Stegostoma tigrinum: one gene and its partner. Each later gene encodes a partner of the first gene's protein in a complex. Links are inferred from orthologs where the notes say so. Each region holds a gene or a part of one and is shown on either strand. Other genes may lie near its edges.

What was found.
Region 2: meaf6 (region 1) and bromodomain and PHD finger-containing protein 3-like share a complex: the UniProt entries of both Homo sapiens proteins name them as parts of the MOZ/MORF complex. The link is inferred for Stegostoma tigrinum from reciprocal best matches to the Homo sapiens genes MEAF6 and BRPF3.

Annotation. Positions count from the first base shown.
Region 1 is NC_081377.1:12,577,748-12,585,455, forward strand, and holds the start of meaf6 (chromatin modification-related protein MEAF6), read right to left. Parts: upstream 3,019-7,708; 5' UTR 2,918-3,018; coding exon 2,828-2,917; intron 923-2,827; coding exon 807-922; intron 1-806.
Region 2 is NC_081374.1:26,928,531-26,935,409, forward strand, and holds the start of bromodomain and PHD finger-containing protein 3-like, read right to left. Parts: upstream 3,017-6,879; 5' UTR 2,734-3,016; intron 2,586-2,733; exon of another isoform or gene 2,480-2,585; intron 2,254-2,479; exon of another isoform or gene 2,186-2,253; intron 1-2,185. UniProt on the Homo sapiens protein: Scaffold subunit of various histone acetyltransferase (HAT) complexes, such as the MOZ/MORF and HBO1 complexes, which have a histone H3 acetyltransferase activity.

The DNA of each region.
Region 1 (7,708 bases):
ACTGTCAGCTCAGGTCGTTAATGTCAGTAAATTGTTAACTTGTGGGGATTTCAACTGATCCTTTTTTTATGGTTTATGTGTGGAAGGAACTGCCAGAGGAAGTGGTGGATACAAGACATTTGGCTAAGTACATGAATATGAAAGAATATGAAAGAAGAAGGGCTAAACGCAGGCAAGTGGGAGTAGTTTAGTTTACGAACATGGTTGGCATGGACTGTTTTCATGTTGTATGACTTTATAACTCTACACAGATGTACGTTCCAGGAACAGTCAGCACACGGTGTTCAGCAAAAGTCCTGGCGTACCACTCCCTGGCCTTCACTCAGAGTTGACAACGCCAACTGTAGGGGTCCCAAGTAATAACACATCTTCAGGTGAGTTAACATGATAGGAATCAGAGACTCATCCAGAGACCACCACAACTCAGCTATGTACTTCAGTGTATGTTTAGGAACAGGTTACTAGAAACCCTATTTAGGTGTATTCATTACTTTTTTTTAATGTACAGAACTGTCTGCATTTATTTTTGAGAATTCTGAAAGTTCAATGTACAACAGTTGGCCTCAGAAAGTAAAATCAAAACTATTTAAATTCACACAACGCAAAATTTTTCATCCATTTGTTTGAAAAGTATGATAAGCAAAATGTCCATTCCAGCAGTAAATTAACAACATTTCAAAAAGCAGACTTTAAAAAGTGAAATAATATTGCCTGTGAATTATACAGGAATGGACTCGAAAATTTGCCAAATTTGTTTCGGTTGAGTCACTTTGACAGCTCTATTAACACAAAGTCAATACACGTACTTCTGATTGGTCAAGTAACGATCCCATCCACGAATGATATTCCCATACATTTGTGTATCTTCCAAATAGCTTCCTTCAAAAGCATAGATCTGACGTTCCAGGTTTGCCAAAGTCTCCTGTGGAAATAAAAGTTACAAAAATATTTATCAAACTGCTGGGGAAGAAAAATGACCTGCTATGAAGATTTGTTGTAATGTTTATTTCAAAGAATTATGAAAAACAGTTGGACAAAGAAAGAGAATGAATGCTTTTTGTTGGGATTCACAACAATTGGAGCTAAACTGGTTAGTTTTGAAAATCAGACACAGGAATTGTGATGTACCATTAGCCAGTATGTGTTATTTGTAATGTAATTACAACCTTTTGAGTTACAAAGAAAATGCTGGAAAAACTCAACAGGTCTACACAGAGAACAGAGTAAACATCTTGAATACAATAGGCCTCTTTAGAATAAACATGTCACCCCAAACTCATAACTTTAACTCTGCTTCTCTGTCCACAGATGCAGCCAGACCTGTTGACTTTCTCCAGCATTTTCAGTGGTTATTTCAGATTTTCAGAATCTACAGTATTTTGCTTTGATTTAAACTTTGTGCTGCCTGTTCATTTGGATTTATTTCTGTGTATAACCAATCATTGCTAATCACTTCGTGCACTAGTTGAATGCATTAGCAGAGTCAAAAGCACAAGTGGCGAGCACATACAAAGCTTGTACTGCACTTTTGTGTACTGGGATTGGAAAAGATGCTAAGAGTCATAGGCAAAGAGCTTCTGACCTCGTGAAGCGTAATGGCATAAGAGAGGAGAAAGAAAGCTTGTGACTTTCAGATGCCTCACAGGACATTCTGGTGAAGGCAGTGGAAAGGTGGTCTGTATCACCAGAGGCCAGGAGGCACCCCATCCCTGCCCCCAGACAAGGTTCAAAAGGTAAGTAGAGGTAGAGATCGATGCAATGAACCAAACTGGTGGTCCTGAATGAGGTGCCAAAGGAAGCTCAACATCCCATGAGTAAACAAGGTCAATGAACATATACTCAGATGCCACATTCGACAAGTGCAACAGGAGCCTCAAATTGCCCAAATCGTCTCACACTGATTTCTCTCTTTTCACATCTATTAATAACGATTCATACCAAATATCTACGGCTTTACCTTGATCTCTGAATGTGGCACTATTACAAGCTGCATACCCATATTTTCCACCTTGCATACTTCACCAATTATGGCAGTCACAGCAAACACACAAAAACATAAACAGGGACCACACAAACCCATCACTGAGAATCCTGCACAGGAAAATAAAAGTTGTTGCAAGTAAAAATCTTTGTCAATGTCCCTCACTCAGCTGCAGATAAACCGACACTTGCATATATTTGTGTCACACCGGATCGCTGTTTCAGAGTTTGCAATCCCAGCAGTTCAGCTCTCCACCCTACTAGATCTGTCGCTGGGGGAGGAAACTGAAATTCCCACTCTGCCCAACAAAGCCTGGGGGAAAAAAAAATAAAGCTCAATGTAGCCTTGAACGGAGAAAGCGGTGGTTCTCTGTGTTGACAAGGCTGGGACACCCCACACATTCTACACTGACCGTAACAACAGTGTAAGCGAGAATAATGTCTCACTGTGCGGCGTGTGACAAGAGGGACATGAGCAACAAATACATGCACACCACTCCTGCAGGTCTGTCCGATATGACACAAGCCCACACCCAGGGTGCCCGCTGTTGATGCCCCAGGGCAGGGACACCAGCTCCAACATCACCCTTTCCTCCCCCCCCCCCACCACCACACACAAGTGGAGGGTCACTGGATAACTCTCCCTATCTCCTAAGTACCAGACCTGGGGCCAACCCCCCCCACCAACCACATGGCCCTGACATCGTCCTCAACCGCCTCCCCGACCCGCTGCGGCCCAGGCTCTCCCCGGCTTTTCCTGCCTGAGCCTCCCCGGCCTCGAGCACTGGCTCCGGTTCCCGCCGAACCCGCTGCTTTCCCCACCCCCATCCATCCGAGGCTCACATACCGCCAGCTCCTGCTTCCTCTTGACCAGCTCAGCCAACTCCCGCCGGGTGTCCGGAATTTGTGGGGTCTGCGCCTTGTTGTGCATCGCCATGTCGGAGCTGGCGAGCAAGCAGCGCCCGGGCTGGGGGGTATAACCGCTTCTTCAGGCCGCGGCCGGCAGGAGGGCGCAGGATGGACCTCCAACCAGTAGGGGGCGCCGCCTGGGCAAGACTGCCACCGGCAGCCCTGACCGGTGAATTACACTGAGGACATTGCCACCGTCAGGGTTGGAGGGTGAATTACACTGAGTACACTGCCACCATCAGGAATGGAGGGTGAATTACACTGAGTACACTGCCACCGGCAGGCCTGACCGGTGAATTACACTGAGGACATTGCCACCGTCAGGGTTGGAGGGTGACTTACACTGAGTACACTGCCACCATCAGGAATGGAGGGTGAATTACACTGAGTACACTGCCACCGGCAGGCCTGACGGGTGAATTACACTGAGGACATTGCCACCGTCAGGGTTGGAGGGTGACTTACACTGAGTACACTGCCACCATCAGGAATGGAGGGTGAATTACACTGAGTACACCGCCACCGTCAGGCCTGAAGGGTGAATTACACTGAGTACACTGCCACCGTCAGGAATAGAGGGTGAATTACACTGAGTACACTGCCACCATCAGGAACGGAGGATGAATTACACAGAATACACTGCCCCATCAGGGCTCGAGGGTGAATTACAGAGTACACTGCCACCGTCAGGACTCGTGAATGCATTACACCCCCCCCCAGGACTGAAGATTGACTTATGCCCAATATATTACCACCCTGAGGACACGACGTGTTTTACACTAACTCAGCCTGACTCTCAGGAGTAGACAAGTTATGCCTAATGCACCACCACCGTCAGGACTGGACAGTGATTTACACTGAATACACTGCCATTCTCAGCCACAGAGTGGTGACTCATGTTCCGGCAAGTATATCTGTTAGCCTCACTGCAGTGTACCTATTCTCTGACTCAATCATGTGCCTTTTTCCCACTGATCCCTTCCCAAAAATTCCAACCACTTGTTATCGCAATTTTCCTGTTTAACCCATTTGGTCCCAGTACGAGACCTGGCAACATCTGTAGCTGCTGCGTCAGTCAGGTGGACCCAGGCTGGGCTCTTGGCGGTGGCAGCAAAGAAAAGTTTGGGCTGATGGAGGCCCTGGCGTCATCGGTGGCAGCTGCATTGGGGAGGCCCAGCAAAGACTTATGGTGGCTGCAGTATCGGTAGAAGCAAGATGGCGCCGCAGAATGGTGGCTCTTGATCTGGCAATGCAGCAACAGCTTGTCTCTCCAGGCCCATGACGGAATTCTTTACAAGGACTGTCAAGTTGAACTTTATTTTTCTGCCTTTATATTCTATGTTTTGTTTTTTTTCTGTGTTTTAAGATGGCGCCAGAGAGCAGCAACGCAATACTACAGTTTTCACTGTATTTTGTAACAGAATACATGTGACAATAAATAAACAAAATAACCAGGACTGGAAAGAGACAGTAGGAACTGCAGATGCTGGAGAATCTGAGATAACAAAGTGTAGAGCTGGATGAACACAGCAGGCCAAGCAGCATCAGAGGAGCAGGAAAGTTTGATGTTTCAGGTCAAAGACCCTTCTTCAGAAACCAGGACTGGAGGGTGTGTTACACACAACACAGTTCCAATTACTGGATTCTTTCTATAATGAAGTAATCAAAACTGCATTCAGTACTCAAATTATGGACTAATGTATGGTTCCAGCATAACGTTCCCATTATTATAGTCCATACATTGAATACTACAGGAAAGCATTTTTTTCACCTTGACAGCTCTGTGAATATTCATTGCAAGGTTTCTTAAGTTCCTCCGAAGAAACTTCGGAGCGTGGGTTCATAATTCCTTGAAAGCAGAATCACAGGTAGATAGGATAGTGAAAAAGACATTTTGTCTGCTTGCCTTTAGTGGTCAGTGCATTGAGTACAGGAGTTGGGAGGTGACATGCGGCTGTACAGGACATTGTTTCAGCCGCTATTGGAATATTGTGTGCAATTCTGGTCCCCCTCCTACAGGAAGGATGTTGTGAAACTTGAAAGGTTTCAGAAAATATTTACAAGAATGTTGCCGGGGTTGGAGGATTTGAGCTGGAGGGAGAGGCTGAATAGACTGGGGTTATATTCCCTGGAGCGTCAGAGGCTGAGCCGTGACCTTATAGAGGTTTATAAAATCATGGGGAGCATGAAGAGGGTAAACAGACATGGTCTTTTCCCTGAGGTGTGGCTGTCTAAAACTAGAAGGCGAGGTTTAAGATGAGGGGGAAAAGATTTAAAAGGGACATGGGGTAACTTTTTAACACAGACCGTGATGGAATGAGCTGCCTGAGGACGTGAAGGCTGGTAGAATTACATTTAAAAGGCTCAAAAACAAAGTTTCTGGAAAAGCTCAGCAGGTCTGGCAGCATGTGTGAAGGAGAAAAGAGTTAACATTTCGGGTCCAGTGACCCTTCCTCAGAACAGTTCTGAGGATGGGTCACCAGACCCGAAACGTTAACTCTGTTTCCTCCTTCACTGATACTGCCAGACCTGCTGAGCTTTTCCAGCATCTTTGTTTTTGTTCCTGATTTACAGCATCCACAGTTATTTCGGTTCTTACATTTAAAAGGCATCTGGATGGCTATACGAATAGGTAGGGTTTAGAGTGATATCAGCGACATGCTGGCAGACAGAACTAGATTTATTTAGGATATCTAGTCGGCATGCACATGTTAGACCGAAGGCTATTTCAATGCTGTCCGTCTCTATGACTATTTCCACTCTACTATTTCTCATTCGTTCATCAGGTATGCATACTGTTACCTTGTTTGACCTCCTCAACAGATCACCTTGCAGTTCTACAGGTTAAATTGCTGTCACAGCTTTTGTATCTACCTGACTTGTCCATTGCTATCTTCCACAGGGCACCTTCGCATTATTGCCAAAATAGGATTGTAAGTTATTGAGGATATTTTTGATGGAATAAATGGACGGCAAGTCTTTGGTTGAGTAGAGATTGGACAGATGAGGAGTTCATCTGAAACAAGAGAACATCACTGGTAAAGGGGGTGAAGAAGAATGGAGACAGGCAATGTTTCAGGGACAGAATAGTATGGTTTTAGACCGAAAGATGGTACTTGAAACCAGGACTCTGAGGTTGCATCCATCAAATTGGGCATTTGAGAAAGAGGTGAAATTAGACTGTTGTCTGAAGTTTTTGCTGAAAGTTTAATTAGGTTAACTTTGGTTTTGTTACTTGTCAGCTAAGTGGTTGGATAACCCAGCAGATGGTGAAGCAATAATGTCGAGTACTATCAACTCACAAATGCAAGCTGGCATCATAGCTACGACTATTGGTACTGCATAGACAAAGGTCAGACAAAAAATTAACTTTGGTGCAAATATATGGGCACAGGGTAATAGCTAATGTCATGTGATGAATTCATACAACAGGACTGGAAACACATCGTAACACGGACTCAAATGCTGGAAGTAAATACTTTCATCGGAGATTGAACCCAAAGGGACAGAAAAACAGTTGGACAGACAATGGAGTGGATAAAGGTCAGCCCAAGGAATGAATAGCTGCTAATGGGGGCTATAATGGCTGATAACAGGTTGTGTGTGGCAGCAGCCCATGTAACGACAAGCCTTGGTGTGTGGGTGTTGGGGTAAGGACATGGAAAAAGATGCAGAAACACCAAAATTGTTGAACTCCACATTAAGTCCAGAAGGTGGCAGAGTTCCAAAAGGGAAACTGAGGTGCTGCCCTTCTACTTGCACTGACTTTCGCTGGAGCACTGCAGCGAGCCCGAGTCAGACATGTTGGCCAGGGAACATGGTGGTGTGTTAAAATGACAGGCATTTGGAAGCTCAGAGTCGTTTTGCTGACAGAATGTAGGTGTTCTGCAAAATGGTCACCCAGACTGAGCTTCGTTTCTCCAATGTAGAGGACACATATTTCCCCTCCTCTCCCTTGACAGCCTTCCATAAGGCCCATTCCCTCCGGGACACCCCAGTCCATTCCTCCTTCCCTCTACACCGCCATGGCACCTTTCCATTCATTGCAAATTGTCAAGCGCCTACCCATTTTACTTACTCCCTCCTCACCATCCAAAGCCCCAAACCCTTGAAGTGAAGCAGTGATATACCAGCACCTCACTGAATTTTGTCTACTGTACTTGCTGCTTACGATGTGGTCTCCTCTCCACCCAACCTTTTCCTAGCTACCATCAGTTCCGCAGAATGTTCACTGGACTCAAAACTGATTAATCTGATTTCTCTCCATAAATTCTGCCAGATCTGCTGAGCGTTTTCATCAATTTCTGTTTTTGTTTCTGATTTCCAACATCCACAGATGGTCAAAGATAACAGTGTGGAGCTGGAGGAACACAGCAGGCCAGGCAGCATCAGAAGAGCAGGAAAGTGCCCATTCCTGAAGAAGGATCCTGACCCGAAATGTCAACTTTCCTACTCCTCTGATGTTGCCAGGCCTGCTGTGTTCCTCCAGATCCACACTGTGTTAACTCAGTTATTTCAGGGTTTTTTTTTTTACCCTAAAATATCATTATTTTAGGTATGGGCATTGGTCATCATTCTTTCCCTGATGTAAAGAGGAAAACAAAAACACTCTTCACACCATTATACTATTATGCTTGTGGGAAACGCACAAGTGCTGACATGTTTAGGTAAATAGCCAACATTATTTCTTTAGTCTTCATACTTGGGCACTGATGCATTCTTTGAATTGGCATAAAGCTTTCAAAAGACAATGGAAAACTTTTTTTTAAAGAAAGACAAAACATGATAGGCAACGCAATAACATCTTTCATTGAAGGTT
Region 2 (6,879 bases), on another chromosome or scaffold:
TTTCCTCAACAGACAGAACGATCACTATAATCCCGAGTATGAAAACTTCTCACCACCATCACAAAAACTCAACAGGACTTATCCTTTAATCTGCAAACCCAGGCCTGTTTGATAAACTATACACACCTACGCATATCATGCATCTATCTTATATGTAAAAATCACAGTTGTTCAACTTAAAATGTCTAATCAGCATCTCTAACAAAGTCACTTCCATTTAGTGCGAAGAAGAAAATTTTCCAACATGTTAAAAATTGCAACAGTACTTACAATCCATAGCACAGCACATGGCTATTAAAGTTTTAACTTCAGCATTCAGAACGGGGTAGTAATGATGCCTTTGATTTTTCTGATTTTTCTCTACTTATAGCATACATGTAGTCACAAGCAGTTACAAACAGGTCATAAAATGTTGACTAAACCTTTCTACTTCTCTATCAAAAAATAAAACAGCTGAAGGAAAACATCACAAAAAATCAGACTGAAAGGCAAACAGAAATTCTCTTCATACTCTACATCCAAGTATCGGAACCAAACACAACCTCGAGCAGGAAATCAAAGAGGGGAATGTTTTTGTTGTTGCACCAACTACACTGTACTTGTATTGGCATATTAAAATCCAGTTATTTCATTAACACTATAAATTAATTGACTTGCAAACGTAGAGATCTCTATTTTCACAATTTCCTTCTTAATATAAATAACTAGAGGTAATTCACAGATGTAGGAAACATTGTTGGGCAAATGGATCACATGATATACATTGTTGCAGATGGCTTTTTGCAAGTTACAGTGTTTTACAGACTTTTCTAATCAATCTGTTCAGATTTTAATCATGCAAGAGGCCTTCTAGCTCACAACTAAAGACACTACTACCACCACCAATGCAGAGCAGAAATGGAGATAAGTAAATACTTTATATTACTTTTAAAATAAAGGAATACTTCCCAGTGATTTCTGCACAGGATATTATTTCTAGAACCTCTCACTACAAAAAAAGTTTAAAAGCCATATACACAAGTTGTTTGCACAATTCAGTTAAGTACTTTAGAAATGATTAAAAAGACATATTAGCATTCAATAGATAACAGGAACTGCAGATGCTGGAGATTCTGAGATAACAAGATGTAGAGGTGGATGAACACAGCAGGCCAAGCAGCGAGAGGAGCAGAAGGTTTCTGAGGAAGGGTCTAGGCCCAAAACGTCAGCCTTCCTGCTCATCTCACGCTGCTTGGCCTACTGTGTTCATCCAGCTCTACATCTTGTTTTCTTCGCATTCAATAGCTAAGGCACTCCTTTCAAGCAAAAGATTCTTTGAAACATAATTCAGTTACTCGCATAGATTTTTTTTAAAAATCATGAGCAAAAGTCAGAAAAAAGGAGTTTCAATTGGTTTATATTATTTTGAAATATCTTCTACAACATGTTGCTTTGCCCATCAATACAAATCGTCAGTAAAATAGTAAATCGAACTGCTTATGACATCTGTACAGAGATTTTACGAACTTAGCCACTTCATTCAAATTTACTTAGGTCCAGGATCCCATTAACGTCGCTATTTATCAATAAATCTGGATTATTTTATTTAAAGTACGGGCTGTACATGTTCTGAATTGCCTGTTCATTTTGTTTACCTCACTACAAACGAAATGAAACGAAATACAAATGAAAAGAAGGCCCAAAAACAAAACTCGAGCGTTCAAGACATCACAAGTCCTTCGTGAGCAGAAGACACTGCGCGAAAACGGGCGCTCGATTTAAATCGGGTTACCGCTGAACGTGTCCGGTTCATGTATAGTAGGTACTAATGGTGTACTTTATTCCACAAGTTAGACCCCGCTGTCACATTACTAGGGGTTGGACATTGTTGACGTGGCCGGAGGACCCCAACTCAGTCCTTTGTCTGTTTCCCCCATTGCACTGTGTCGGGCTCTGACACCAACTCAACTGGACACTCGTGCCAGCTCAGCTGTTCGATGACGTCGAGACGGGGAGGGGGTTCAAAAGGTGGCTGACGTCACCGCAGCAAACTAGTTTCCCGGGCCCATTTGAAAGTCCCTCTTGGCAGCAATGGACACCTAGTCCAGCCGCCATAAGGCTCATATTCCCATACCTTTCCAACTCTCTCCCCTCCCCACCCCCCCCCAACAAATGTATACTTCAACCCCTAAACAATAACACCCACCTGAAACCATGTTTCAGCAAACCACCCCTCCACTCCCGGCGTGAACCCCTCGCCACCTCCCTCCCAAACAGCACGAAGAATTTTCTAGAATCTCTTTTCATCAACCGACCCACCATCAATACACTCGCCCCCTCCCCCAAAGCCTACACCAAGCAACGACTCAACCGACCCACTAATAGGCGCGTGCAAAATTGATAGGCGCTCCAGCCAATAGACGCCAGGGTTCATCTTCACTCAGCGCCAATCAAGAAACAGCTTACCCTCGACTGACCAATTGGAGAAGGCGGGACTTACCGTGCTTGGCTCCACCCCAGTTCGGCTGGACGGAGAGAATTTACTGTAGAACAAGATGGCGACTATTTCCACAACAAGCGACCTTCTCCATTCCCCCCCCGCCAAAGCATATTAATTACAGACCTCTAACGGCTTATCTGAGTGCGTTTCACTCGCGGCCGATGGCAGCGGCGCGACCCAAAAGCTCACGGCTTCACTTTCCAACCCGCAAATAACCGAATATCCAGAAACGCGTAAAAACAAACGCCATTTACCTTGAATGCAAAGTCGGGCAGGGAGAGGCAGAGAAGGGGGGGGGAAGCGAAATCACTTTCCGGGACACAAATAATTACAAATAGCACCGAAGCGCCTGGTAAATGCCGTTCCGTGCCCACGGTTCAACGCTTAATATGTCGTCTTCTTGGTACGGAGCGCTTCATATTGCGCCCGCAAATGTGTCAGGGCGAGAAAGGCGGACTTTTAATGGAGATTTGAGTGCGAGGAACAGTACGTAAGATAGCGGTAGAAACGCGAACCTTTTGCCGCTGTTGTTGGGGACGGGGGGGAGGGGGTTGTGGGTGGTGGTGTTACTGGTGTGGGGGGAGGGGAGTTGGGGGGGTTTGGTGGAAGAGAAAAAAAACTCTTTTCAATCAGAGGCCGGACACGCCCCTGCGCATGACCCGAGCGATCGCGGAAACCCCGTGCAGGGGCAGCAACCGGGGGGGGGGGGGGGGGCGCGCGCGCGAGAGGAGGGGTGCGGGAATGGGGAGATTCAGCCTGGGGTGGGTGCTGCCCCTACTCTCTCACACAAACACAACGTCCCCGCTCCTCCACATCAGCGACTGGCCGCTCCCCCTTGAATCTGACTGCATTTTTGCTAGGCTTCGAATAACGGGCGGGCGGTGCTTCCCTCCCCCTGCACAAACGCTATTTTTCTGTTCTCCCCCCTCGCTAAGCGAAAGATCGAGCGTTATCCATCTCTCCCGCTGTTCCTACTTCATGTTAGCAGTAAAGTGTGAGGCTATTGCAGAACCAAACGCTCCCATTTAAAAATCCCCAGGAACAGTTTACCGAGGCCTGAAAAAAAAGTTACTTTTTGAAACCCAAGGTTGGGGGATTGCCACACTTAAGACAACCAGAGGTCATTCGCAAAAGTGGAAGAAAATTATCACCTCAAAGTACCACTACGGATTGTACATGTTATCTTTTGCCTTCAAAGTGTTTATACTTAATTCTTCCCGCCTCGGCCGTGTTTTTATCGCTTCGATTTTGAATTAAAATTGCCATAAGATTGTCTATAAATAAACTAGGGTACTTGAAATGTTCCGAATGTGTCAAATTACTGGAGTTGCAAACCAACGATTGTTGAGGACAGCAGTTGGTTGTTTTGCTTGGCTGGTTGGAAAATTCCTCGTAATGGAAATAAATTGTGGTTACACGAATGAAGGGAAATGCATAATGCAACAAGTTTGATCAGCCTCGCAGCTTCAGTCGAAGTCCACTACTGCACGAAACACTCCTGCTCCGACTGAGCATAGAATAGCACCAAAAGTGCAAAAAGTCTCAACCAATTATTAAAAAAACGCGGGAGATCGTGCTATATGATTACAATTAACCAATGAGAGTATGGCCAAATGATCTATCACGTGATTCCTATTGGCCAATAAGTTGATAAGCCTGATAACTTGCGTTAAAAAAAATCTTAGTAGGATGAATGGATTACGATTCACTATGGCCTGGGCGGTGTGAGAAAAGTAGATATTGGAGCGTTTAGCGGTAAATCAAATTTTGATAGCAGGGTGACAAAACGGGTGCTGACACCACAGATGCATACAGCTCAGCTTTTGAAAGACCTAGCTCTTTCTCATTTTTTTAATAGTTGAATTAACGCTGCGCACAATCATAGAATGGGATAGGTAACGTAGTATTTGGGTCAGGCTAACGTTTTGAGTCTAAATGTCTTCTTCAGAGCTGGAGAGCGTAGGGGACAGCATTTAAGCCATAGTTTAGGCTAAGGTGGGTTGTGGGGGTCGTGGATTTGGAATGTTAGTAGAGGAAAAAAAATCTTGGTAGTTTAGGTTAAGTGGTTAGAATGGCAGAACAATGGTGTGTCTCCTGCCGGACTTGAAAGGGCTGACAGTCCCACTAACGTGAGATTACCGGACAGAGGACATGGTAGCAGAATGCAACATGCTAAAATGGAAGAAATGGTTCATAGTTTGAAGGTGATGAACCCAGTGTAAAGTCCAGAAGGCTGTAAGATACCTATTCTGAAGATAGGATGAGATGTTGTTCCTCCAGTGTACGTTGTGATTCACTAGAATACTGCAACATGCTGAGGACTGACATGCAGGCATGTGAGCAGGATGTGGTGTTAAAATGGCTGGCTATGGGAAGTTTGGGGTCATGCTTGTGCAGAAACCCAAGGTGTTCTGCAGAGTAGTCACCCAGTTTGTGCTTGGTTTCCCTAATGTAGAAGGGACTATGCTGGGTGCAGAGAATACAATGCACAAGATTGGAGGAGGTACAGGTGAAATGCTGCTTCACCTGGGAAGACTGTTTAGGCCCTTGGATAATGAGCAAAGAGTAGGTGAAGAGGCAGATGTTGCACTTTCTGCAGTTACTTGGGAAGGTGCCATGGTTTGGGATGCATGTGGTGATGTTGGTGATTGCAGAATGGACTAGTGTGTGATGGTCTTGAATGACCATGTGGATCATATGAAAGCTAACAGTGTGGGAGCAAAATGTGCCCAGCTTCTCGACAGCCTTACTGACTGTTCTGAAACCCCAGGGGTCTTGCTTGCCATCAAGAGGTGAAAATACCCAAGAATCTGAGATGGACATAGTGTATATCACTGCCTCAATCCCTTTGCTAGGTGAAGAAAATGCATTTCTTATGAAATTGTCCACGTGTAAGAGGTGAGCTACCTGTGTATTACATATTGTCCATACCAGAGGCAGAGTTGGAGGAACCTGACCTGGTGCTAAAATGTATAAGAATGGGCCCATGTCCTCAGATTATAGCAGAGATTGTAACAAGGTCAGCCAGGTGGACCTTAGTTCCCTGACTGGGGCTGTTACTCTGGTCCAGCCAAGGAGCCCTAGTACATAGATTATAAACAGGAGTGTCCTGTTAATTGAGAACTGTTTGAGGGAGCTGGATCAGTGTCAAGGGTTCTCCATATAGAAATAAAGGTGACTTGGTGACTGGATACTGGACCCCAGGGGAGTTACTTCATCTGCCTGTTGACTGATCTTCAGTCCATCCTAATATATTCCCTCCAATATCATGCACCTTTAAATTTTGATTACTGACCTGTGTTGAGTTTTCAGGAATTTTTTTAATAAAGTTCAAACGAAAGCCACACCCACTGGTTCCTGTTAATCAACTTTGCTAATAATATGAACAATACTCTTTATCAGATTTGTCAAACATGATCTTTCATTCATAGCTACACATTGTCTAATCAGATGATGATTTTCTAAATATTCAGTAATCACATCCTTTATTTTCCCAATTACTTATGTCAAACTAACATCTAGTTCTGTGTCATCTCTTCCCTACTTTCCTTAAACAATGGGGTTACATTTGTTATAGAGGCAGGCAGGCATCATTATATAATTAGTAGAATTTGAGAGATGATTCCCAATGCTTCCACTATCTCTAGCCATCCACCTCAACATTAGGGCGAAGGTCATTGGGTCCTAAGGATTTGTCAACTTGTAGTCAGAGTAATTTCTCCAATGATCCCTATTTTTACTGAGGCATTTCTCAGAGCAGTCCTTAGCCACACCAATGATCTTCCCTACATCCTATGTTCAGAATTACTCCAAGTTATGAAGGATGGTTCAATATATAAACAAACAAAATAGGTGCTGCAGCAGGCCATTTGGCCCCTTGAACTTGCATTCCCATTCAATAAGGTCATAGCTGATCTGTTTGTATTTCAAATTCCCACTTCTATGTTGTCCACATCCCATACAATATTTTTAAAACATAATATGTTTTGCTAAAACAATACCTAACAAAAAAACTTGCATTTGTGTTTGGCAATACTATCTAAATTAACTGACTGTGGAAAACCTGTTTTATATATTGTATCTTTGGTGTTAAATAACTACATTTAGATTAAGTTCACTCCTTTTTCTGATCTTGAAAACATCCTCCCAACCTGTAATGCATTTTAATTTTATTACTCAATTTTGATACAAAATAAAGAATGGTGGAGAAAACAAGCAGTGTGTTCCCAATTTAAATAAAATTAAAAGATTCCACATGTAAAGAAAATAATTTGTAAATTCTTGCATTTCCTCTAAGCCGCCTTTGGTTAATCACCACAACTACAATGAAAAAAAATTCCACTGAACTTATTCATATTAAAGTACTTATATAGCAACTCTAAGAAAGAAACAATTTTTCT